7 linked regions of the Sus scrofa genome follow. The protein of the gene in region 5 purifies or fractionates together with the protein of the main gene of each other region. This does not show direct contact. Links are inferred from orthologs where the notes say so. Each region holds a gene or a part of one and is shown on either strand. Other genes may lie near its edges. The genes, in order: PPAT, POLE, PRIM1, CDKAL1, MMS19, FAM96B and PRIM2.

Region 1 (3,500 bases), on a different chromosome or scaffold from region 5:
GGTGAGGGTTTGATCCCTCTCCTGGAACTTAATATGCCACAGGCACAGCCAAAAAAAAAAAAAAAAAAAGTATAAATATGAAATAGAAATTATTTTAAAAACTAATTAAGAGATAACCACCAAAAGTTCAGTTCCACTCGGAGCCCCCACCTCTGCCCATGGTCCTGTGTCATGATGATGGGGGGATGGACAGCCACCATCACCATCAGCAACAGACCTGGGTTGAGAGGGCCCCTGTGTGTGCCACTCATGTGGGGATGTGACCTGTTTGTCAGGAGTGTTGAGGGCTGAAAAAATTAGAACCAAATCCCAAACCCTTGGACTTCCCGTTGTGGTTCAGCGGAAACAAACCCGACTAGTATCCTTGAGGACCTGGGTTCAATCCCTGGCCTTGCTTAGTGGGTTAAGGATCCGTTGTTGCTGTGAGCTGTGCTATAGGTCACAGGTGCGGCTCAGATCTGGTGCAGCCCTAAAAGGCCAAAGAACAAAAATCCCAATCCTTTGTGCCTTCCTCCTCCCCCCACCCATCCATTGCTGGTCTATATTCCTGCAGACTGAGTTCTCAGAGACCCTCCCGAAGCCCTCCCCCTGTTTGAAAAGCTTCGGAGACTCCGCCGCTCCAGCAGCATTCTGCATCCCAGCTGTACATTCCTACCATTGGTATATACATACCTACATAGGGTTGCAGAACTAACCGGGCATCCACGCCATGTCTGATCTCTTTCTCCAAAGGCAGGCTGCTGGGTGAGCGGGACTGAACCTTCCCCTCCAGTGGTTACAGCTTCTCTCTTTTCTAAATAGCTTCTGCGCCATGGTATTGGTCTGTCCACAAGCTCCGATAGTGAGATGATCACCCAGTTACTGGCATATACCCCTCCTCAGGAGCAAGATGACACCCCAGACTGGGTGGCCAGGTAATTAGAGAACCAAGCTGAGCCTGCAGCTCCGCTAATGAGAGCTTTGCCTTCGTGTGTTTATAATTAACAGGATTCATTCAATGATCTCCTTACTTCTAGGATTAAAAACTTAATGAAGGAAGCACCCACAGCCTACTCCCTCATCATCATGCACAGAGACGTGATCTATGCCGTACGAGACCCTTATGGGAATCGCCCTCTGTGCATTGGTCGTCTTATTCCTGTATCTGATATAAATGATAAAGGTAATGAACGTCAAAAGGAACATCATTTTATAATGCCCTTCAAGTCATTGATCTGCTCTTGGCACACCCTGCAATTTTTAGATATAGGAATCTTATTAAGTAGAGCTAGGTAAAAAAGAAAAAAAATGGTACTTAGTTTTTAGAGTGCCCATTGTGGCTCAGCAGTAACGAACCTAACTAGTATCCATGAGGACTCAGGTTCCATCCCTGGCCTTGATCAGTGGGTTAAGGATCCGGTGTTGCCGTAAGTGGTGGTATAGGCCAGCAGCTACAGCTCTGATTCAACCCCTAGCCTGGGAACTTCCATATGCCAGAGGTGCAGCCCTATAAAAGACCCCAAAAAAGTACAATTTCTTGAGCGTTTCTGAGGATGAGCCACTTTTCATATATTTGATGGACATTCCTATTTTTTCCTGTCTGAATGGCCTATTCATATCCTTTGCCCAGCTTTTTCATCTGGGTAGCATGATTTCAGTGACTCTCTTGACTTATCAGATGTCTTATGCAAGCCGTGAATCATAATGTGTGAAGGAAACTTGGGATCATTAATTTCACTTTTGGTTCTAATCAAATGAGGAGTCGTGTGTGTGCTCTTAAAGTCATAGTAATTGATATTCCATGAGCTCTTTAATCTTTGTATTTGGTGTTTAACTCTTCTCTTGAAATAGGTAGCATCTTTCAAAGTTTCTTGAGTTCATTAACTGAATCAATTGTCTTGTGATTTACAGAAAAAAAATCTTCAGAAACAGAAGGATGGGTGGTGTCTTCAGAATCTTGTAGCTTTTTGTCTATTGGTGCAAGGTAAGTTGTATCTCACTTAGGAGATCACTTTTTCAGCATCGATACAAAGTGTGTTTCTCTACTTGAGGGTTTTGTTTCTGGAGTCTACAAGAATTCATGTTTATGAATGTAGCTCCTTCTGTACATTGGGCTCAGCAGTTACAATGACCTTAATGTTCCAATGGTACCTTCTAATCCTGGAGCTGGCATCTTCTTTTCAAAACACCATGAGACTTATTTTAGAAAGAAAGTATCTCTTCAACAAGAAATAGTTATGCTTGGAGTTAGGATCCATGAGGACATGGATTTGATCCCTGTCCTTGCTCAGTGGGTTAAGGATCCTGCGTTGAGGAGTTCCCATCCTGGCTCAGTGGTTAACGAATCTGACTAGGAACCATGAGGTTGCGGGTTTGATCCCTAACCTCACTCAGTGCGTTAAGGATCCGTGTTGCCGTGAGCTGTGGTGTAGGTCGCAGATGTGGCTCGGATCCAAAGTTGCTGTAGCTGTGGTGTAGGCCTGTGGCTACAGCTCCGATTAGACTCCTAGCCTGGGAACCTCCATATGCCACAGGGGTGGCCCTAAAAAGCAAAAAAGAAAAGGAAAGAAAGGAAAAGAAATAGTTATGCTCAAAAAATGTTCTCTTTAGCTTTCATTCTTTCAAAAATCAACAAAATGTAGGGCTTTTTTTAAAATTCTTTTTTCTTTCAATTTTTTAGTTTTATTGAAGAAAGTTTATTTACAATGTTGTGCTAATTTCTGCTGTACAACAGAGTGATTCAGTTATACATGTCCACATATCCATTCTCCTTCAGATTCTTTCCCACAGAGATGATCACAGAATATTAGGTTCTCTGTGCTGTACAGCAGGTACAGGCCTGTCAGCATGTGTATATGTTTTTAAATTCTAAATTCAAATGTAGGGGTAACATGGAGTTCCTTCATGGCCCAGCAGGTTAAAGATATGGCGTTGTCACTGCTGTGGCTCTGCTTACAGCTGTGACACAGATTTTAGTCCCTGGCCAGGGAATTTCCACATGCTGTTGGCAGGGCAAAAAAAAAAAAAAAAAAGTTAGGGTTTACAGATGTATGTAAATTACTGAAGTCTTCTTTAACATTGATTTCCAAGGTACTACCGTGAAGTCTTACCTGGAGAAATTGTGGAAATATCCAGACATAATGTCCAAACTCTTGATGTTATACCAAGGTCTGAAGGAAACCCAATGGCTTTCTGTATCTTCGAATATGTTTATTTTGCAAGACCAGATAGTATATTTGAAGGTAAGTCCAGTATCTTTAAGTACTGATATCAATCTGTTATTTATCTCATTGAGACCTGGCAGTTCTTGGGCCCACAGGCTCACCTGGCTCTTCAAACTCACATAAGTATATGTGGGGGATTTGAGGATTGAACCTGCAGGTCGTAAGATCACTATTTATCCTTTTCACCTGATGCCTAGATTTTGTGTTCCTTTAGGAGTAAGGATTATGATTTCAGAAATGTATTAGGCTTAATTTTTTTTAAATAGTGAATTCCCTTGGTTTATTATTTCCAATGTA
Region 2 (3,500 bases), about 86 Mb from region 5:
AAATCAAAATTAAACAATTCAAACAATCAGTGCCATTACAGTAGCACCAAACTCCATAAACACTTGAAGTGCAAACATATGCAATACTTATGTGCGGAAAGCCCCAGCATAATGAAATGGAAAGATTTAGCGGCTCATGGATTGGAGGCCTCAACATTAGTTATCAAGTCTCCCTAAATTAATCTATAGACTCAAAACAACTCCAATCAACGATCTAGGAGGATTTTTTTTTTTTCCCTTAGGGGCACATCTGTAGCATGTAGAAGTTCCCAGGCTCGGGGTCAAATCAGAGCTGTAGCTGCTAGCCACAGCCATAGCCACGGCAATGTGGGATCCAAGCGGAATCTGCAACCTACACCATAGTTCACGGCAACACTTGTGGCAATGTCAGATCCTTGACCCACTGAGCAAGGCCAGGGATGGAACCCGCATCCTCACAGATACTAGTCGGATTCGTTTCTGCTGCACCACAATAGGAACTCCCCAGGAAGATGTTTTTTTCCTTGGTAAAAACTGATATGCTGACTCAAACTTTATAAGGTAAGGCAAAGGATTGAGAATAGCCAAAATAATTTTGAAAAAGAAGAAAGTTAAACCAGTCACACACTTAGTTTTAAGACTTGTTGATAAAGTTATAGGAATTAAGACAGTGTGGTGCTGGAGAACAGATGGACATTTAGATCAATGGAGACAGAGAATCAGACTCACACACGTGCACAGCCAGTTTTGAAAAAGACACAAACATAATAAATAGAGAAAGGATAATGTTTTCAACAATTAGTGCTGGAATAATTGGATATGCTTATATAGAAATATGACCATACATAATTGTACAAAAATTAACTTGGAATGCCCGTTGTGGTACAGTGGAGACAAACGAGTCTGGCTAGGAACCATGATGTTGCAGGTTCTAGTGGGTTAGAGATCTGACGTTGCTGTGAGCTGCAGTGTAGGTTGCAGACATGGCTTGGATCTGGCGTTGCTGTGGCTGTGCAGTAAGCCAGCAGCTGTTGCTCTGATGAGACCCCTAGCCTGGGAACCTCCATATGCCACAGGTGTGGCCCTAAAAGACAAAAAGACAAAAATAAATAAATAAAATAAAATAAAATGGTATACTAAATTCCTTTACTACAATCAGAAGTCACTTGATCACTTACTTAATGGACAGTAAGTAAAGTGCTCTGTACAAGATGACGCCTGCTGGGTCTTATCTGGTAATACTATCCCGTCGTCTGATTCAGCCTGCCTTTCCCAGAAAGGCATTTAGCGTCCCAGCAAGCTCTCCCCTTGGGTTCCACAGCAGCCCGGACATTTGGAAAGCCTCCTCCACTTCCTAGTCTGGTCCATGAGCCCCATGGGAGCGGTGTACACCCGCCATCCCACGGCTCACCTGCTCAGCCCCTGCCAGCACCCCCAGATCACCCTCCACCCCAGGGCCTCTGCCTGCCTCTGCTCAGACCTCATCCCCCTCTCAGGCCCTACACTGAGCCCCAGGCCCCATCAGAGGGCCCTACTCACCCGCCCTATCTCTGAGCCCACCCCTCAGCACCTGTGCTCTCTGGGCTCACCTGTCCCTCACTGACTAGTTGTCCCCCAGTGGAGGGCAGGCTCCGTGAGGACACAGGGCTTTCCTGTCTTGTCTACTGTGAGCCCCAAATGCCTCACACAGCGGCTGCATGGAGCATGGTGCAGTGAGTGAGTGTTGTGCAAACTATCAGTGTGAGCGCCCTCACCTTGCACACGTATTTGATGAACTCCAGAGCAGGGTTATTGAGCAGCAGGTGAGAACCAGGGAGGACAGGAAACATTTCTGAGGGCTCAGTGGAGTTCCGAGAGCCCGTGACTTTCTTCTTAATCTTCTGTGTGATGGTGAAGAAGTTCTGCGTGAGTTCATTCGCCACGTAATCCTGTGAGAAGGTGATCATACCTGGGAAGAGAAGCCACATGGCAGCTGCTTCCCTACTTCACACAGCAATGAGGACACCAGGGAAGGAGTGGGGACCCCCCTCCCCTCCAGGAGCACATAGGGTAGGCCTCACATAGCAGGGTGCTCACCGGGAAGGGCTCCAGCTTCCCCCTGGGCCTCCTGGGAGAGCTGGCTGGCCCCCCTCCTCCGCACAGGGGTGCTCCCTGGGGTGCTGCGCCTCAGCTCCTCCTTCATGCTGTGGTACACGGCCACGATGTAGGCTGCAGAGGAGGAGAGAGAGGCGTCGGCAACACCAGGAACAACTGGAATGAGAGGCACCCAGCCGCATGCTGCTCACAGCGCCGGCCAGGCTGGGCTGAAATGTCATTGTTAGTGATGATTCCATTTGCTGCACGTAGATGAGCCAAAGTCAAAGAGAGAAATGAGAATGAGCAGGAGCCCTCGCTGATGCACAAGTTCATAGTCAGAGAGAGTCCTGCACAAAGAAGGCAACACGTATTCACCTTCACACTGGATGTGACCCAGGGTCAGCACATCTCTCCAAGCTCCACCCGGGTCAGTCATTCAAAAAGCGAACTTAAGAAAATGAAAGACTCAAAGGCAAGTAGACAGAAATATAAAATATAAAAGAAACTGTCTGTCGCTCTGTATGTGGGGAAACCTATATCTGTGTCTGTGTATCTGCTAACGACTTATGATGCTCTTCACTGACTGTTCCGATCCAAGGATCAGCTCGGAAGTACAACAGCGGTGGAATTTATGCACTGTATTTGCACATCAACCTAGATAACTTGGTTTGTAAACACTAAACCTTTAGACCCAAATCAAATACCAGTTTCTTATAAGCAGAAATTGAGCCTCAAAGGCCAGGCAGCTGGGGTGGGGGGGTAATTTGTTCAGGAAGTGTCTAAACTTTTCTACTTGGGGTTTAATTTAGTCACTATTTGTGCACATGCACAAACCTGGGGGGGGCAGGACTATGAGCCCTTCAGTGACGCCCCAGGGCAGCCTTCCTCACTGGCTCTGGGCGGGGCCAAGGGTCTCCTCTCTGCCTCTCAGGAGCCCAGACACAGGTCCTGCTCCTGCCAGAACCACCTTATTCCCACTGACTGCATGGCTGGAACATGACATCAAGTGTGGATGACTCACCTGAGACAATCATGAGGAAGTAGCTTTGGCAGGAGGCTGCCTGCGGCAGAAACTGCAAGATGTTCCAGTTGTTTTCCAGCAAATCCTCCACATCTAGCTCCTTAGAGCCTCCCTCCTCCTCCTCCTCCTCCTCCTCCTCCTCCTCAGCTTCCTCCTCCTCCACTCTGCCCTCTTTAGGGGAGTCCTGTTGTGACACAGAGACAACCATGGTCAGCTTTCCCAAACAGCCTTCAGTGGGTGAAGCCGCCCTGGCTGAGCCCAGGCCATCTAGGGTGACGCTTGTCTAGTGGCTCCTGCAGGGCAGCTGCAAGAAGGTCACCTCTGGAACATGCCTGGAGCATAGAGGCATTTAGTACACAGTTTTTTGTTTGTTTTTTGCTTTTTAAGGCTGTACCTGCAGCATATGGAAGTTCCTAGGCCTCAG
Region 3 (4,232 bases), on a different chromosome or scaffold from region 5:
AATATAAGCACAAGCAAGAAATTACTGGAGGAAATTTTCCTTATCATATGAGGAAAGCCTCCAATATGAAAGAACGGGGAAAAAATAAACAAAGAAAAAGTGCAACTTTAGAGAAAACAGATGGTGTAACAAAAAAATTAAACTATTATTGATATTCTCAGGTAATATATGTCAGTGAAAAAAATACATGATGCTCTAAAAAACTTCTTGGAGATTTTAAATATAATAGCAGAAAAGGAAACCTCTGAGGAAATTCCCCAGAAAGTAGAGAAAAAGGAAATTTAAAATAGAAAAAAAAAAAAATACAATTAGAGGACATAATATCTGATTGTAGGATTTCTAGAGACCAGAGAAAATAGGTAGGAAAAATTATATTAAAAATTAAAAAAGGGAGTGCAGGAGTTCCCATCATGGCTCAACAGGTTAAGAACTGGACAGACGGAGTTCCCGTCGTGGCGCAGTGGTTAACGAATCCGACTAGGAACCATGAGGTTGCGGGTTCGGTCCCTGCCCTTGCTCAGTGGGTTAAAGATCCGGCGTTGCCGTGAGCTGTGGTGTAGGTTGCAGACGCGGCTCGGATCCTGCGTTGCTGTGGCTCTGGCGTAGGCCGGTGGCTACAGCTCCGATTCAACCCCTAGCCTGGGAACCTCCATATGCCACGGGAGCGGCCCAAGAAATAGCAACAACAACAAAAGACAAAAGACAAAAAAAAAAAAAAAAAAAAAAAAAAAAAAAATTAAAAGAACTGGACAGAGTGTCCATGTGCATGATGGTTTGATTCCTGGCCTCTTAGTGGGTTAAGGATCTGGCATTGCTGCAAGCTGCAGCATAGGTTGCAGATGCAGCTCAGGTCTGGTGTTGCTCTGACTGTGGCATGGGCCTCAGCTACAGCTCTGACTTGACCCCTGGCATATGCCATAAAGAGGAAGAAAGAAAAAAAAAAAAGGGTAGATCCCATTATGGCTCAGCAGAAACAAATCTGACTAGTATCCATGAGGACACAGGTTTGATCCCTGGCTTTGCTCAGTGGGTTAAGGATCCAGTGTTGCTGTGAGCTGTGGTGCAGTTTGCAGATGCGGCTTGGATCCTACGTTGCCATGGCTGTGGCATAGGATGGTGGCTACAGCTCCGACTGGACCCCTAGCCTGGGAACATCCATATGCCATGGGTGCAGCCCTAAAAAGACAAAAGACTAAAAAAAAAAAAAAAAAAAAAAAAAATGCAAAATACTGGGGGAAAATGGTTTACAAACTCAACCATTAGTTAAGCATAATGGTAGAATAAACACATTCTCCAGATACACAAAGTGTCAAATATCTTTTCTTTCATGGACCTTTTCTTTTCTTTTCTTTTTTTGGTTCTTGTCTTTTTGCCTTTTCTGGGGCCCGCTGTAGAGATGTAGAGATTCCCAGGCTAGGGGTCAAATTGGAGCTGTAGCCGCGGCCTACGCCAGAGCCACAGCAACGTGGGATCCCAGACTCGACTGCAATCTACACCACAGCTCATGGCAGCGCCAGATCCTTAACCTGCAGAGCAAGGCCAGGGATCAAACCTGCAACTTCATGATTCCTAGTCGGATTCATTTCTGCTGCGCCACAACGGGAACTCCCATCAAAGAACAAATTTTATTTTCACTACAATCTACTTGCAAAAACTGTTAAAGTGTGGCTCCTTAATTAGAATAAACTCTAAAAATGTATCTCAAAACGCTAGGGGCACCAATCCATTCTTGGTTTAAAAAAACAATAAACTACATAAAAAACTGATTTCTTACTCTGTGGGAATATACCGCGCCTATATCAATCTTGTATGGATTCATTTTCTGCATCTCCTTTTCCAGCTCACTCTGGTTGTTGAAAGATTGGTAGCGAATGTAAATGTCATCTTTCAACGTGAATGAAAATTCACGGTGTTGAAAGTAATTCTTTACCACTGCAAAATGAACATACATTTTAAAAGTTAGTATGGTATTTTATCCAGTTCAGAGTATTAAAACATTAACCAACAAGAAGATATCTTTCACGAACCCTCTGTACTCAACACTGTGCTACATTAAAACAAAAACCAAAACCAAGAACTAGTCCCTAATTTGAAGGAGTTCACCATCCTGCATTTAATAGGGAAAGGTAAAAATGAGGAAAAAGATGCAGAAATATTTTCATGTAGTACCACCTCTCTTTCCTAGGTGGGCACTCAAATTCAGCTGGGAAGAGTTAAGTACCTCTCCTCTTTCAGGAGATGCCCGTCTGTCCCTGATGCAGATTATGTCTCTGCAGCTTCTTGCTACAACCCAGTGGACTCCCTTGCTCCCCGCCACCTCCGCCACCTTCGCTCAGGAACCGAGAAGATTAACACTGCATCAGAGCAGGTAAACGCTGCAACGAAAGTGAGTTCAAACACAAAGTGGGAGGAGCAAAGGCTCTGTCTTTCAGTGCGTGGTGTAGACTGGTCATTACATCCCACTCTAGGCCCATTTACACCTCGGCAGTGGTGGGGAGGGCTCAAGGCAACGCACAAAGGCGCCCGACACAAGGCCTGGAACATGGAAGGCACTTCATATTGTCATTCCAAGGTACCCTCCCAGAACCTCCTCACACTCCCCCCCCACCCCGAGCCATTTCCCACCCCGCTCCCGCCTTCATCACCTCCGCCATAGTTCAGCCAGCGATAGTACTGGGCGTAGGGAAAGAGCCTCCGGTAATAAAGCTTAAGCAGCTCGGGCAGCTCGGTAGGGTCAAACGTCTCCATGAAACGCAGAACTCAACCCAGGCAGGATTAGCACGAGAATTGGCGGGAACCGCACAGTCGAGCTTCCGCAACTGCGCAGGCGCGTAGTGGCAGCGGCCAGCCATCTGCAGGGGCTGTTGGGAATTGTAGTTCTCTTTTGGAGGTTGGCTTGGGTGTGGGAGCGCTACTACGGTCTTCACTCACAGATTTAACATGTAGGTCCACTTCTCTGGTGGGTAGAAGGAAGCCGTGCTCATTGCAGGGAGATCTGCGGAAAGGTGAGCCATGGAACATATTAAGGTTATTAAGATGAAGTGAAAAAGATGTTATCTGCTAACTTTATGACTGTTTTAGAAACAACACATTTAAACAATGTTAACCAGTATCTTTTTAAAGAGGGTTTGGAAATTGGTTCTTCATAGAATAACTAGGTCCAGTATGTGGAAATAAATGATGACCAACCAAATAAGAAAAGCAAAAGCTATTCATTCAAGAGCTTGCCATGTATAGAGTCAGCCACATCACATTACATTTTGGCAAAGGCTCAAACGCAGGCAGAGGAGGGGAGAAAGCTTTGGGGGGGCAGGTTTCACTCTTTTTCTAATGCAAAGCTATTTGTTATGGGGAAGCTGTCTGTGGGCTACCTCAGAGCGGGGTATCCTATGTGACCTATGTGATAGGTTAGGGGTGCATATTTGGCTTTCTGCGGTTGGTCCTAAATTGAGAGTGGGGACAAAAATTAGGGAAGCTGTCAGTTATTAATCAAGTACTGGCTATGTTGGATGGATTGTTATGTAGGGTATTTGGCTTCCTGGAATATCACTAGAGACTTTAGTTTGATTTCCTACAAGTCTGACTTAAAGCAGCCTGACTTCTTGGGCTATTTATTATATAGATAAGGGGGTTGGTTTCCTAGGTAGGCATTGGAGAGGTTGTGGGTCAGAGTTCTGTTTTTTTATATGGTCTGGTCATCGTTTGTTTCTACATTGTCGCTTAAACAGAACACCCAGGAATACTAAAATCAGAGGAAGCTTGCAAAATCATGGAGTGCTTTACAAATTTGAAAGAAGCCTGTTTACTCTTGACATGCACATCTGCCAGTCAGTCTTACCAGGTAGATACATTTCATTACAAATGTGGACTGAGGTGGGCAGTCTGATAATCACCCCAGTGCTGTGTCATTTGAAAACCATTATTTTCACAATAATAGTAGGAAAGCAAGGAGAGTATTCTCTGCTCTCTAGTGGGTTATTATTAGCCTAATTTGAAAGTGATCATGGCCCTTCATCTTGCATAGGCAAAGTGGTCAAACTAGGCACTGGGCAGATCATACTTACTTGAGTATTCCTAGAAATACTATATAAATCTTAGCTGATTTTCACAATCCCTGTGCTTCCTGTTTTGGGTGAATCCCTTGCTGGAAAGGGATTCACTCTAATAGCACCAAGAGTGCCCTGTAGAGTTCTCTTTTGTGGAACCACACTTTTTAATAGGCTTTTTTTTTT
Region 4 (2,750 bases), on a different chromosome or scaffold from region 5:
ATAGGAGGTCGGAACATTTTGAGATGAAGGGAAGAGGTGAAGAAGGGTAGGGGTTAAAAAAGAAAACTGTCCCATGGTTACCACTGGGGGCCTGATTTCCCTGTGACTGTACAATCCAAATAACTTATTTAAATTCTCATGGTCATGAGACTTATTCATGTCCTTTTAGTGTGAAAGAAATCACTTCTCTTAGTAAAGGCCACCAATGTCAGGTGGAAATAAGCGATTGATATAATCGATCAGAAATGTTGGGAAAGAGGCAGAGCTTGTTTCAGACAAATCCAGTCCTTGGAAGTTTGTGGGTGCTGAAGAAGTGGGTGATTTTTCAGGCTTTTCAAGATGTCGCCAAGGGTCTTTTAATGGACAGGCTCTCTTGGTGCATTCCAAAAGGACTCGTGTTCCAAAAAGAGGTTTCCAAGTAAACTTTTCAGGAACACATCTGCTGTGGGAAATAAGATGTTTGTAGCATCGAGACCCCAAACAAAGCATAAAGAGAAAGATACATTTTAAAGTGTTTATTGAAAGTGGAAAATTCTTCCCACATAAGGAAGAGGTGACCCGATCCACTGTACAAACAGGTTCTGACCTGAAGATTGGTGATTTAAAGAAAATGCAACCACTTGCATTTCTCGCTAAAAATAGACCAAAAGGAGCTTAATTGAAAAGATATGCTATGGCAGCTGGTGTTAGGTTTTAGGTCAAATAACCAATGGGCTCAACACAACGTGAGACAGGGGTAGCCTCATTAGAGAGTGTGGCTGAAGAGCAGAGACCAGTATAAATTATTGCCCTTTGAGAATTGATGTGGTCGCTCTCCTTCTCTTTGAAGATTTTAATTAGATATTTATTCTCCTTCACAAATGCTTCAGTTGGTTATGTTTTAATTATAGACCTTGACCAAAAAAGCAAACAGAAGAGCCAACAGAGCCAGGCCCACCGACAATCTCAGTGCACAGTCTTGGTGTAGCCTTTGCAGTTGCAGTGCCATTCTGGAACTTGCGGCATTTCGTTGAGTTCCAGTCGAGGTGTGGGATATTGAATTCAGGTGATTCCCAAGCCTATTTCTGAATTCCTATAAAGAGAGAGGAGGAGAGAGAAAAATCAAAGATTTTAAAGAACCAAAAAAAAAAAAAAAAAAAAAAAAAAGCACTATTGTGATAGCAGTTAAGTATTGGATCCTAAAAAGAGCTATTTTTTTAAATTGAGATATAATCGAAATATAACATTGTATATAACATAAAGACTCAATGTTTGTATACATTGTGAAATGATCACCACAAGTTTGGTTATAACATAGTTACATTTTTTTCCCCCTGTAATGAGATCTATTCTCTAATCAACTTGTAAATATACAATGCAGTATGGTTAACTAAAATCAGCATGCTATACATTTCATCCCCAAGATGTATTTATGTTACAAATGGTAGTTTGTATCTTTTGTCTGTTGACTCTCTTCACCCATCATGTCACCCAACTGCCATTGCCACTGCCCCGGCGCGGACTGTGATAGACAACCACCAATCTATTCTCTGTATCTATACATTCAGGGGTTTGTTTCGTTTTGTTTTGTTTGTTTTAAGATTCTACATCTTTCTCTGACTTATTTCACTTAGCATAATGCCCCCAAGGTCCATCCATGTTGTCACAAATAGCAAGACCTCCTTTTTTTTCTTTCTTTTTTTACAACTGAGTAATATTCCATTGTGTGTATATGTGTATATATGTGCCACATCTTCCTTATCCATTCATCCACTGATGGACACTTAGGTTGCTTCCATGTCCTGGCTACTGTAAATAACACTGCAGTGAACATGGGCGTGCATGTATCTTTTTGAGTTAGTGCTTTTGTTTCCTTTGGATAAATACTCAAAAGTTGAATTGCTGGACCATGTGGCAGTTCTATTTTTAATTTTTTGAAGAAAGTCCATACGGTTTTCCATAGTAGCCGCACCAATTTACATTCCAACCAACAATGCACAAGGGTTCGTTTTTCTCCACATCCACCAACATTTGTTAGTTCTCATCTCTTTAGATAATACCCATTCTAATAGGTATGAGGTGACATCCATTGTGGTTTCAATTTGCATTTCCCTGATGATTAGTGATGATGACCATCTTTGCATGCACCTCTCCACCGTCTGTAAGTCTTCTTAGGTAAACTGTCTATTTAGATCCTCTGCCCATTTATTTATTTATTTATTTATTTTGCTTTTCAAGGCCACCACACCCACAGCAATGGAAGTTTCCAGGCTAGGGGTGGACTAAGAGCTACAGTTGCCAGCCTACTCAATAGCCACAGCAAAGCAGGATCCAAGCCACATCTGCAGCCTATACCACAGCTCACAGCAATGCCAGATCACCAACCCACTGAGCAAGGCCAGGGATCAAATCCGAATCCTGTTGGATTTGTTTCCACGGTGCCACACTGGGAACTCCCCGTCTGCCTATTTTTAAAATCAGATTTATTTTTGTTGTTGTTGCTATTGAGCTGTATGAGTTCTGCATATATTTTGGATATCAACTCTGTACCAGATATCAGATATATCGTTTGCAAATATTTTTTACCACTCGGTTGGGTGCCTTTTCCCTTTGTTGATGGTCTCCTTTGCTGTGCAGAAGCTCTTTAGTTTGACGTAAGAAGCCATGACTTACTTCTTCAGCATAGGCACATCCAAACACCCACCATAGGCAAAGTGGGCCAGGTTAGGTATAAGTTACAGTTCCTTTTCTTAAAGGGTCAGATCCAAGTC
Region 5 (4,282 bases):
AGCGATTCCCACCCCGCACCCCACCTTTTCTAGACTCCCAGACGGCCAGGAGGCTCTAAAAAGCCCTGCGGGAAAAATAAAGATTTCTTTCCCAGAGTCCTGCGCTGCTTTTGCAAGTCGGATTCCGGCAGGCACGATCTGCAGCCCGATAATGACACAGTCTTTGGAAGGAGCGCCTGTTCTCATCTCGCTCGCTTCGAGTTCTGGGACGACTGGCCACCCGCGCCGTGCCCCGACGGGCGGGCGTCCGACCCCGGCCCCGCTGCCAGGCCAGCGGCGCCCCGGCCTGGGGCCCTCCTCCCCTCCGCCGGCCCCGCTGCGGTCTGCAAACATTTCCTGCTCCCGCCCCCACCCCCACCCGGAGCTTCCCAGTTGGAGCGAGTTGGGCTCGCAGCCGGGTCAGCGCTCGCAGTTGCCACAAGTCGGCTCCCCCGGCCACTGGGGCCGGGGAAGGGGACCCCCGTCTGCCTCGGAAGCAGCCATCAGGGAAACCTAGGCGCCAGGAGCCGTGGGAGGTAGCTCAGGAAGCCCAGTTCTCGCGCAAGAAGGCGGACAACTGGCTGGGCGCCGGTGGCCCTGCTCCCTTCCCGGTCGTTACCTGCTCGCTTGCGGGGGTGTCCCGGGGCGGTCGGCCTCTCCCGGCGCTGTCTCCCCACACAGTTGCCCATGCTGGCTCTTCAGCCGGGCCCCATGCACCGAAGGCGACGGGATGGTCCGCTGCTCCGCGGTCCTGCCCCGGACGGCGGCGTCCCAGGTCAACGGCTCCGACCGCCCGGCATCGGGCGCTTCCCGATCTCCCCCCTGCGGCGCGCTCTACCCCAGCGCCGGCTTCGCCACAAACTTTGCGGGCAAGGAGAAAGAGGGAGGTGGCCGACTCCCCAACACAGTCCCAGGTGGCCGGGCCAGGGGGGCCCGCGACGGTGCCCGGCTGGAGACCAGCTCCGCTGAAGGGGCGGAGAGAGGGGGCGGGCACCGCCGCTGTTACTCCCGGCTCGCTCGGGGCTCCCAGCTGGGGCCGGCCCCCCGGAGCCTGTCACTCACCTGCCTAACCCCGCCCCAGCCCAGCCCTGCTCCCTGCCGCCGGCTCGCGGTGCCCGCGCCGCCGCCGCCGCCCGCCCCAGGTGCGCATGTGACCGACGGCACCGCCCCCTCGGGCCGGGCCTGGTTTTCTCATTGGTTCCCCCCAGGGTGCGTACCGCCCCTCGGCCCCACCCAGACAGGTGCCCGCCCCGCCGCGGGTCTCCCGGGAAGCTGGGCCGGGAATTATTCGCCCTCAATGGCCCCCGGCTGCGTGCCCAGCAGCCGCCTTCGCTCCCTGAGCCACCGCCCCGACTCCGGGCCCCGCCCCTTGGGGAGGGGCCGTCCCATCCCACCCTGGAACTGCCTGGCCTGGAGCCGGCAGGCACGTGATCCAGGGAGCGCCCCGCCCCCTCAGCCTTCGCCAGGCGATTGGCTCAGGAGGCGCGTGCGCTGAGAGGCCCATCCCGTGCCACCGCCCATTTCCCCTCCCACCGTCTCCAGTTCGCGTCATGGCCGCCGCCACCGCTCTGGAGGCGGTCGCGCCTACGGGCGCCCTGTGGGGCCTCGTGCAAGACTTCGTCATGGGTCAGCAGGAGGGCCCCGCAGACCAAGTGGCTGCAGGTACGGCAGACGGCGCCGCGCGGCTTCCGCTTGGGGGCCTCCAGGAGGGAGCGGCCTCAGCACGGGCGCCGGGCGGGAAGGGAGCGGTGACTTTGAGAGATTGGTCCCGGGCTGGTTGTGAGCACCGCGTGCTTAAGAACCATAACAAATTGCGAGTCGCTTGCAGTCTTCCTTAAAGCGCCCTTATGACCCTCGTTTTGGTTTATAGCCACCCTGTGCACCGGCCTGGGTTAGGAAAATCATTACCATTTCGCAGGTGTGGAAACTGAGGCCCAGAGAGGGCCAGAGGCTTCCTGGGGGAGTTGGGACTTGGACGCAGGTCCTCCAGTTCAGAATCAGGTGCTCACTCCGCGAAAGCACGTTGTTTCGAGGAAGTTGATGTGACGAGAAGCATCTTCGGCAGCATCAGCTCCAGTCGCGTGGCATGTTGGGAGTGGCCGCGCGACCCAATCTCTGACTGGCTGTAATTAATTGGAGAGAGGAGGAGAGAAACCAGCCTAGGGGGAGTTTGAGATGTTCTGCGTATCTCTTCCCCCCATTCTTGTTCAAGTTCTTGATTAATTTGCTTCGTGCCTTTTTTATGTGGTGTGTGTTTTTATATTTTTCCCAGAACTCCAATTTCCTGCTTTTCACCAGTTTAGGGATCTCTTAGTTCTGACAGCTTATCTAAAATTTGAGCGGAGCAAATGACAGATTTCCTTGAAATTCTGAGACTTCACTCTTTTAGAAAAAGAAAAATCTAAAAAGTTATTGAATGTTAGGAGGCCTTCGGACCTTGTGTCTATGTAATAGAATACAAAATAATCTTGTCAGTACAGATAAGTTTTGTCTTTATTTTTGGAAATTGCGCGTGTTTGGGGAGAAGTAAAGGATACATTTCTCTTGAAAAGTGAACACACTTGCTTTTAAAATATGTGGGAAATGAATAAAGTGAACCTGTCAGAAGTATAATACTTTGGGAGTTCCTGGTGGCTCAGGAGGTTAAGGATCTGGTGTTGTCGCTGCCATGGCTTGAGTGTGGCACTGGTTCGATCCCTGGCGGGGGAACTTCCACGTGCTGCCTGCTTAGCCAAAAAAAAAAAAAAAAAGGAGTTCCCGTCCTTACGCAGTGGTTAACGAATCCGACTAGGAACTATGAGGTTGCGGGTTGGATCCCTGGCCTTGCTCAGTGGGTTAAGGATCCTGCGTTGCCGTGAGCTATGGTGTAGGTCACAGACACGCTCGGATCCTGCGTTGCTGTGGCTCTGGCGTAGGCCGGTGGCTACAGTTCCGATTAGACCCCTAGCCTGGGAACCTCCATATGCCGCTGGAGCAGCCCAAGAAATGGCAGAAAGACACACACACAAAAAAGTATTATACATTATGGCAATATTCTACTTTCAGTCTTAGCACCATTATTGAACACATTATTCTTCAAACGCAGTGCTAAGCAGTAGGAACATAAATATCAATTAGATGAGATCTCTGCCTGCCAGGAACTTATAGTGTGGTGGGAGAAACAATCATTTGGACAGGTAGTATGCTACGCTACGAAAAGGGCCGTAAGAGGTATGTACAATATGACGTGGAACCAGCAAGGAGCAAATGCCTGATATAGCCATTCCGCTAAGCTTAACCTCTTACAGCTTTATGCAGTATAGTGTGTTTTCAGTGCTTCCAATTAACAATGGCAGTGTATTATCAATGTCATTTTCCCCAGTGTTGTATTATGAAAAATTTCATACAGCAAAGTTTAAATAATTTCATAAGGAACACACATACACTCACCACCTAGATTCTACCATTAGCATTTAACATAATTAGCATTATCATGTAGCTATCCATTTAAATTGCAGATATCAGTATGCGTCCCTCTAACTGCTTTTGTATGCGTATTGTTGACTAAGGTATAAAACTTGTAAGACAAAGTGTACAAATCTTAAGCATAGTTCACTGATTTTGAAAAATTCGTATACCTCCTCCCACCAAGACAAAGAACATTACTATAAAAGGTGTCATTCGTAACTCTTCTTTCACATTTATACATTATGAACACAGTAATTTAGGGTTTTTCAAATTCAGAACACTTTTGAGAAGAAAGCATGAATAAGGACTGCCAAGTTCTTATAAATACTTTGTAAAATTTACATTTTTATGCCTGAAAAAAAATGGCCTAGACTATTGTCTAGTTTAAATTTAACTCAACTCTGCCAAGACTGTAACACTAGCCCTTTTGCAATTTAGCCCTCCTGACTAAGAAAGGAGGTTGGTAATAACAGATAAGGTTGAAAAGGTTTGGTGGGATTGGATTATGCATAACCTTAGATTCTGAGGATTTGAATGACTTACTGTAGGTGGTTGGAGTCAGTGTAGATACTTGAGCAAGGAAGTCATATGGTGAAGGTGAATTTGAGAAGGATTAAACTAGTGTACAGTGTTAGATGACAGCCTTAGAGTTGTTGAAGTTGACAGAGTTTTGAAGCATCCCTAGTGTAAGATGTGCTTTCCTATCCTCCAGCCTAAGTCAAGCTTTATTAGTGCTGAAGGGGCCAGATTTCTGTTCAGCCACTCACAGCAGCGGCCTCTTCTACAAATTGTAAATGCAGAAGGAACACCCTGTGATCACAAAGGCAGCTACTACCAACTTTGCGTTGCACCTAGG
Region 6 (3,891 bases), on a different chromosome or scaffold from region 5:
AGAGAGTAAGACAACCAAATGCAATACATGAAACTTGACTAAAGCCTGATTAATAAACCAACTATGAATGACACTTTGGGGAAATTCACATTTGACTGGACGTTAGATATGAGCATCAGGGAACTGTTCATTTGGGGACCAAACAACCACTGTGATTACAAGCTTATTCTTAGGAAGAACTTAGAAGTGAAAGGTCATGTGTCTGCAGCTTACTCTCAAGTATATTTATATTCTACACACACACAAATAAAGCCAATGTTGCAACATGTTAACAACTATCAAATTTAGGTGGTGCTTATATAGGAGTGTTCACTACATTAATTTTTCAATTTTTTTGGCATACTTTTCCTGATCAAACCATCAGCAGAACATTTTCTTTCCTCTGAAGAGACAGTTTTTTAAATGATCTGAACCTCACTGACCCAGTCTCTACAGGCACTACCACCCCCACCCCCAAACCCAGCGTTAATCCCACTGAGATGAAAGACTCTCAGGCATGCTGGAAGAGGAATATAAATAAGGGTTTATTACAAAATGCAAAATGTTAGTTTCTTACTGTCAGTGATTTCAAGAAAACAAGGCCATGAGTCCTGAATGGGACTGGGAGCAAAAATCCAGGTTCAGGAGCGAGCTGACAGACACTGGTTCACAACCTCCAGCAGGTGGGTGTTCTCTAGGGCAGCTGCCACCCGCTCTTTATCTGCGAGCTGCTTGTTCACTGGGTGGAAAGGAGAGAGGTGAAAAATATTTATACCCCCACCAACGAAGTCATTCTCTCTGGGAGTTCCCACTGAGGCTCAACGGTAACAAAGCCAACTAGTATCCATGAGGACGTGGGTTCGATCTCTAGCCTCACTCAGTGGGTTAAGGATCTGGCATTGCCATGAGCTGTGGTGTAGGTCTCAAACACAGCTCAGGTCCCACATTGCCGTGGCTGTGGTGTAGGTCAGCAGCTGCAGCTCCGATGTGACCCCTTCCATATGCCACACCTGCAGCCTTAAAAAGCAAAAGAAAAGAAAAAAGTCCTCCTCTCCTCTCCTTCCCAAGACTCCAAGCTTGATCAGGCTACCCCAAGCACCTGAGCCCACACCTATTGCACCTTTCTGTGACCTCTCCCACCCCGCCACCCAAGTCTGCCTCCTACACTATAAAGCCAGACACACCCTTGTCCTGTGTACTCAGGACAGGGAGAGGGTAGGAGTGGGAGAACACAATAAACACTGGAGACTCAAGTCGGGCCAGCTCCCTGAGGGGGCACCCACCTCGTGCCACATGCCCTACCCTCCATCTTGCCCTACAAACCACAACGGCAAGGGGAAGCCTCCAGGCCAATGCCTTGACATCAGCCCATGCTTACCTGCATGCTCAGAGGCATGGGTCCCTGGCGTAATGTGCACGTCCATCTGGGAGGAAGAGAAGTGGGGTCTGGGCACTCACACACCCATCCACCCCTTTCCGTCTCCACATTCATGCCTCTGGACTCTGGTCCTTCCATTACACCCAAACCCACTCATGGCCACTGCAACTCTACCCAAAAGACTGGCCAACTGCTACTGACTCAAAAGCCTGCCTGGACCCCATCCTTGCTCCAAACCTATCCACAGCCCCCTAAGGCCACATTCCTCACTACTTTTCTGCACTTTCCAGCTTGGGCCTCTAAATCCTGTCCCATCCAATTGGAAAGCCTCCTCCCGGTTTCATCTCTGCGAGCTGGGATCCCTTCAGGTCTCACTGTGTTATCCATGTTCATGCTCTCCACGCCCTCCTCAGTAGCAGACACTCATGCCTGCCCCACGCCTAGGGCTCAGTTCCAACTTACCTTAAAACGCTGAGGAAGGGATCGCAGAAGCTTGACTTTGATGGACAGGCCAATAAGGGTGGCCATACTGCAATGCGGAATGGTGGGTGTGAAAGCCACAGCCACTGTGCTCTCAGGGTCGCTTACCTGGTTGAGGAGGTGGAGTGTTGGGAGACATGGCCCCCTTAGCCCAGAGCCCCTCTTCTTAGTTTACTGCTTCAGGCAAGTTGTCTTAAACACTGTAGGATGCAGTTTCCTCATCTACAGAATAGGCACACACCCCACCCCCTTCCAAAGACCCTTGAGGATTCTGTGAGCTGAGACAACACCCACCCCCCGGAGCAAAGTTGAGCCTTTCTGACTCCCTGGAACAAGTCACTCCCCCGGGATGCTGGAGGTGACTCACCTGAACCCGGACTTGCTCTACTACGTTCAATTCTTCCAGCGTCAGTGGATGCTCCGGGTCATTGATGGAGCGAATCAGATGTGCTAAGTGAAGGAAAAGGGACTCTGCGCTTCTGCCCACTCAGAACCCTCCGCCGGGAATGCTCGGCCCTGATACAGCTCCACCAACTATTGGACATCACCACATCCCACCCCATCCCAGGACCCGTGAACCCGCCCGCGCCCGGCAGCGGCGGATATCGAAGATCTCGCGCGCATCGATGCTGTCTGGAACTTGCTCGTCTTCCTCGCCCGCGGTCACTGGCCGCTCCCCAGAGCGCTCGTAAATGAGGGGGTTCGCGTTCTCCAGAAGGCCGCCCCCAACGCCACCTCCGCCGCCGCCCACCATCGCGGAACCTCGGCCGCAACTGTAGACATGCACTTCCGCTTCTACGAATGCACTTCCGGGGAACGGGAAGGGGGCGTGGCGTGGCGACGGGGTAACGCGAGGGACACGCAGCGCTGCCGGTACTCCGCCTGGGGATAGAGTGGAGCGGTGTTGTAGGCGCGCTCTCCACGCAGACCCGGGGAAATGCGCAGCGCTCCAGCAAAGGCTCGCAGACCCGGCCCCGCGTGCGGGCGGGTAGCGTGCTAGACCGTGGAGTCCGAGACTGAGGCACTTAGGGTTCGTCTGGGATTGACCGAGAAGTTTCTTCAGACATCGCTTCCTCTGAGAAGCCCGCCCCTTAGACTAGGCGACCGCTCCCTTCCCCAGAATTGCCTCTGTCCGTGCAGGGTTCACTGTGTTTTGGAAGCTCCCGGTGGCGCACCTGCAGCCCCCACTGCTCCTTGGGCCCGGGAGTGCCCTCCTGGTCCCCAGCGCGCGGGCCAGCTGGTGTTCTTTAAATATTTGTCCAGTGATTAATGCCTGAACTCGATTTTGGCGGGAGGTGGGTAAAAGGAAAGACCTGAGGTGGGGTTGAGGGTGTTCTTAAGAGGAGTGCCACAGGCAGGTGTGCATTCAAAAGGCAGGCCATTGCCGATCAGGGAGGGGGTCCTCAGAGACCCCCAGAACTGGGACAATAAGGGGATGAAGGCAGAGCCAGGAAATCGATCCCAGAAAGCAAGGAGTTTTTGGAGAGAAGGGCAGCCACTCTTCCCTGCCTTTACTTAGTTGGTTCCCTTCGCTCTGAACGAAGGTCATTCCCATTTCTCTGTCTGTGGGAATCCTGACCAGGGCACCTCTTCAAGGAAGCTCTCCTGGTTTCCCTAATCACAGTTCCGTCTGCTCTCTCTCTCGACCCCCTGGACACACTTGTCGGGCCCATGGCTGTAAGGACAGTGAACTCAGGTATGAGGTGAGGGTTCTTGGTATTGTGTAGAAGCCCAGAAGAACCTGGGGAGAGGGGAAGCTAATGTGCTAGCCCCTGCCTGCCACTGGCCTTGGCCTGTTCAGTCCGTCTCTCCTGCCAAACTCACCACTCCCTGCCCAGTCCAATCTCTAGACCTGAATGACTGCTGGATGGGTTCCTGTGCAGCCACTTGGTGAAAAGCAGAGTGCCCAATGGTAGGGCAAAAAAGAAAAAGACCTGTAAGCTCACCATGCAGCTGGATGGACTTCGAGTGCCACTGAGCGCCTCCTCAGACTTCTGCTTCTCTTAATCCCCAGCTATAGGATGAGGCTCCCAAGCAGGGTGACAGGAACCCAG
Region 7 (2,508 bases), on a different chromosome or scaffold from region 5:
AGAGCTCCTCACACAGGCCAGGCCCAGAGGTTAGTGCTCTGGACACACTGGCTTCTTTGGTCCACAGAGCAGCACCGAGCTGGACACACTCACATCCCCATTCAGAGCCTTGGGGGGTGCTGAGGGCGAGGGTCAAAGGGGCAGAGAAGACCCAGGCTGTTGAGGAATTCATCTAAAGCTTACGAACCTGACCAGGGCCACAACTGTCATTAGTGTTTTCCTGTCTAGATTCGTAGTTTACCTGACTTGCCCAGAGCACCCACACAGCCAATCACTGGGAGGCCTGGAGCTGGTCTGCTCTACCATGGGGCCAGCCCTCTTACTGTTACACCTGTTGAAAATAGTGTTTTTATTTAATAACATACAAATTTTCTTTGCAAAATTGAAAGGACTAAACATTAATAAAGTAGTAAACAACAACAAATTCTCATTAGGTGCTTTTTTAGGGTTTTTTTGGGGGGAGGGGGGCTTCCCTCACAGCATATGGATGTTCCCAGGCCAGAAACTGAATCCAAGCCACAGCTGCGACCTAAATGACAGCTATAGCAATGTCAGATCCTTAAACCCTTGAGCCACAAGGGATCTCCAGATTCTCATCGGTTTTATCAGAATAGGGCTCTCACCAGTTGAACGAATCTGGCTGGTATTTTCAGCACCAGCTTTGTACAACACTTTCCCTTATGAACTGTATTCTTTAATTTGCTTGCTCAGCTTAAGGGTTTTAATTTATGTTCTTAATTACTTGTGGGACAACCCCCCCTTCTTATTTTTTTTTCTTCTTATTTTGGGCCTCACCCTAGCACACAGAGTTCCTGGGCCAGGGATCAGATCCAAGCCACAGTTGCAACCAGGCTGGATCACCAACCCACTGTGGCGGGCCAGGGATCAAACCTGCTGCCAATCCCATTGCTTCCACACCCTTTTGATTAAGAGGCCTCAGAACTTTCCAAACTTAGGCCTAGTATTCAGTGTCTTTCCTTTTTAAAAAAAATAAGATATGAAAATTAGATTGAAACACTAAGTTTTTGACATAATCATTAAAAAGAAGTGTTTATTTCTCAAATCTGCTTTTGTTAGCATCTCTCCTATTGATTATTCCTACAAGAGCATCACTGCTATTGCCAATTTTAGAACTTGCCTTAGATTAATGAAGATATTAAAAGGACATGTGTCTGAATTCTCCCACATACGGAAACTGTCTACATTAGAAATCAATGAGTAAAAAAGGCTGTTTGCATTCACTACTTGTCTCAGTATAGATTTTTTTGGTTGGGAATATCTCTCTTTGCTTATTATTTTTTCTAATTTAATTTAAAACAATATAGTTTTATTGTCATGTTGCTGCCATTCTGCCTGCTCCTTTAGTTTGCTACATATTAATGTGGTAAACATTTGCTTTCCTGTGCAGGTGGATGACTGTGGCTTTTCTTTGAGTCATCCAAACCAGTTCTTTTTTGAGAGCCAGAAGATTCTGAATGGTGGCAAAGACCTCAAGAAGGAATCCACTCAGCCAGAAACACCCCAGCCCAGAGCGAATGTCCAGAAGAGCAAAGACGCATCCTCTGCCCTGGCCTCGCTCAACTCCTCCCTGGAGATGGACATGGAGGAGCTGGAGGAGCTGCTTCAGTGAGCGGTTCCTGAGCCCGTGGTGATCTTGCTTCCTCATCGGCTATTACTGGCTAGTTGTATGATTTTGTGTTTTTCTTCTCCATCTGCCTCCTCCCTCCACCCTACCCCACTTTAATCCACTGACGTGGGCACGCACTTCTTGGGAAGCCAGGCTTGCCAGTGAAAACAATGTCCTCCACTATATTTTGCTTTAAGATCTAGCACTTGGATGGTGTGGTCTCTGCCCTCTTTTAAGAGATGAGACGCTTTCTGGATTGGTTACAGCCCCTAGAAATAGTACCACTAGAACAGCTTTTATTGTAACCCTTATCACTGTAATTCTGACCCAGTCCTTTTCTGGACCATCTTTGTGAATAAATTATCAAAATGTTGAATGAGAGTGTCTGTGTTTAAGAGTCTAATTATGCCTTAAGAGATTAGACATTACTTCAGTTTTAAAGGTGGTATTTTGGAATAGACACCACATTGCCAAGTCACCAGTGAAGATGTTGAATTGTTTTTCTTTTCACCTCTTTCTTGTTGGTCTTGAAGTTGGCCACGTGAGCTTATTCTTCATTAGTAAGAACGTCTGCCCCTTTGATAGTGGGCTCCTGGATGAACTGTGTGAAGAGCACCAGAACATGGAACACCAATCATACTACTGACGAGCAGGAGTCTTCTACCATGTGCCGTGGAGATCCCCCACCTGATGTCCTCTATGTTCACTGGGGACATGACCATCACTAAGGTGAGAAGGTTCTGGCCAAGTCTTGTGTCGATCCCACACCAGCTCCCACAGCTCAGTGCTCTGGCAAGTTCAGTCCTATAAGCTCATTAGCTAAGTGGTGAAAATTGTGATACTTGTGGTAATGCCCATCTCAGTGCCCTGCACTCTGCCTG

Evidence for each region.
Region 1: the proteins of MMS19 (region 5) and PPAT purify together in Homo sapiens (affinity purification with mass spectrometry; 3 studies listed by BioGRID and IntAct, with this or other methods). This does not show direct contact. The link is inferred for Sus scrofa from reciprocal best matches to the Homo sapiens genes MMS19 and PPAT.
Region 2: the proteins of MMS19 (region 5) and POLE purify together in Homo sapiens (affinity purification with western blotting; 3 studies listed by BioGRID and IntAct, with this or other methods). This does not show direct contact. The link is inferred for Sus scrofa from reciprocal best matches to the Homo sapiens genes MMS19 and POLE.
Region 3: the proteins of MMS19 (region 5) and PRIM1 purify together in Homo sapiens (affinity purification with western blotting; 3 studies listed by BioGRID and IntAct, with this or other methods). This does not show direct contact. The link is inferred for Sus scrofa from reciprocal best matches to the Homo sapiens genes MMS19 and PRIM1.
Region 4: the proteins of MMS19 (region 5) and CDKAL1 purify together in Homo sapiens (affinity purification with mass spectrometry; 4 studies listed by BioGRID and IntAct, counting the BioPlex papers as one, with this or other methods). This does not show direct contact. The link is inferred for Sus scrofa from reciprocal best matches to the Homo sapiens genes MMS19 and CDKAL1.
Region 6: the proteins of MMS19 (region 5) and FAM96B purify together in Homo sapiens (affinity purification with western blotting; 11 studies listed by BioGRID and IntAct, counting the BioPlex papers as one, with this or other methods). This does not show direct contact. The link is inferred for Sus scrofa from reciprocal best matches to the Homo sapiens genes MMS19 and CIAO2B.
Region 7: the proteins of MMS19 (region 5) and PRIM2 purify together in Homo sapiens (affinity purification with western blotting; 5 studies listed by BioGRID and IntAct, with this or other methods). This does not show direct contact. The link is inferred for Sus scrofa from reciprocal best matches to the Homo sapiens genes MMS19 and PRIM2.

The regions. Positions count from the first base shown.
Region 1 is NC_010450.4:55,659,578-55,663,077, reverse strand, and holds part of PPAT (amidophosphoribosyltransferase), read left to right. Parts: intron 1-801; coding exon 802-914; intron 915-1,016; coding exon 1,017-1,162; intron 1,163-1,890; coding exon 1,891-1,963; intron 1,964-3,069; coding exon 3,070-3,221; intron 3,222-3,500. UniProt on the Homo sapiens protein: Catalyzes the formation of phosphoribosylamine from phosphoribosylpyrophosphate (PRPP) and glutamine.
Region 2 is NC_010456.5:22,846,646-22,850,145, reverse strand, and holds part of POLE (DNA polymerase epsilon catalytic subunit A), read right to left. Parts: intron 3,261-3,500; coding exon 3,077-3,260; intron 2,188-3,076; coding exon 2,056-2,187; intron 1,928-2,055; coding exon 1,734-1,927; intron 1-1,733. UniProt on the Homo sapiens protein: Catalytic component of the DNA polymerase epsilon complex. Participates in chromosomal DNA replication.
Region 3 is NC_010447.5:22,086,614-22,090,845, forward strand, and holds the start of PRIM1 (DNA primase small subunit), read right to left. Parts: upstream 2,801-4,232; 5' UTR 2,749-2,800; coding exon of another isoform or gene 2,646-2,748; intron 2,376-2,645; 5' UTR 2,222-2,375; intron 1,933-2,221; coding exon of another isoform or gene 1,829-1,932; coding exon 1,775-1,828; intron 1-1,774. UniProt on the Homo sapiens protein: Catalytic subunit of the DNA primase complex and component of the DNA polymerase alpha complex (also known as the alpha DNA polymerase-primase complex - primosome/replisome) which play an essential role in the initiation of DNA synthesis.
Region 4 is NC_010449.5:16,567,394-16,570,143, reverse strand, and holds the end of CDKAL1 (threonylcarbamoyladenosine tRNA methylthiotransferase), read right to left. Parts: intron 1,073-2,750; coding exon 881-1,072; 3' UTR 501-880; downstream 1-500. UniProt on the Homo sapiens protein: Catalyzes the methylthiolation of N6-threonylcarbamoyladenosine (t(6)A), leading to the formation of 2-methylthio-N6-threonylcarbamoyladenosine (ms(2)t(6)A) at position 37 in tRNAs that read codons beginning with adenine.
Region 5 is NC_010456.5:108,883,788-108,888,069, reverse strand, and holds the start of MMS19 (MMS19 nucleotide excision repair protein homolog), read left to right. Parts: upstream 1-1,482; 5' UTR 1,483-1,529; coding exon 1,530-1,641; intron 1,642-1,887; exon of another isoform or gene 1,888-2,536; intron 2,537-4,282. Other genes in the region: UBTD1 (ubiquitin domain-containing protein 1), read right to left, coding at 599-668. UniProt on the Homo sapiens protein: Key component of the cytosolic iron-sulfur protein assembly (CIA) complex, a multiprotein complex that mediates the incorporation of iron-sulfur cluster into apoproteins specifically involved in DNA metabolism and genomic integrity.
Region 6 is NC_010448.4:27,609,969-27,613,859, forward strand, and holds FAM96B (mitotic spindle-associated MMXD complex subunit MIP18), read right to left. Parts: upstream 2,650-3,891; 5' UTR 2,592-2,649; coding exon 2,444-2,591; intron 2,285-2,443; coding exon 2,205-2,284; intron 1,946-2,204; coding exon 1,820-1,945; intron 1,404-1,819; coding exon 1,358-1,403; intron 719-1,357; coding exon 621-718; 3' UTR 501-620; downstream 1-500.
Region 7 is NC_010449.5:28,274,126-28,276,633, reverse strand, and holds the end of PRIM2 (DNA primase large subunit), read left to right. Parts: intron 1-1,408; coding exon 1,409-1,630; 3' UTR 1,631-2,008; downstream 2,009-2,508. UniProt on the Homo sapiens protein: Regulatory subunit of the DNA primase complex and component of the DNA polymerase alpha complex (also known as the alpha DNA polymerase-primase complex) which play an essential role in the initiation of DNA synthesis.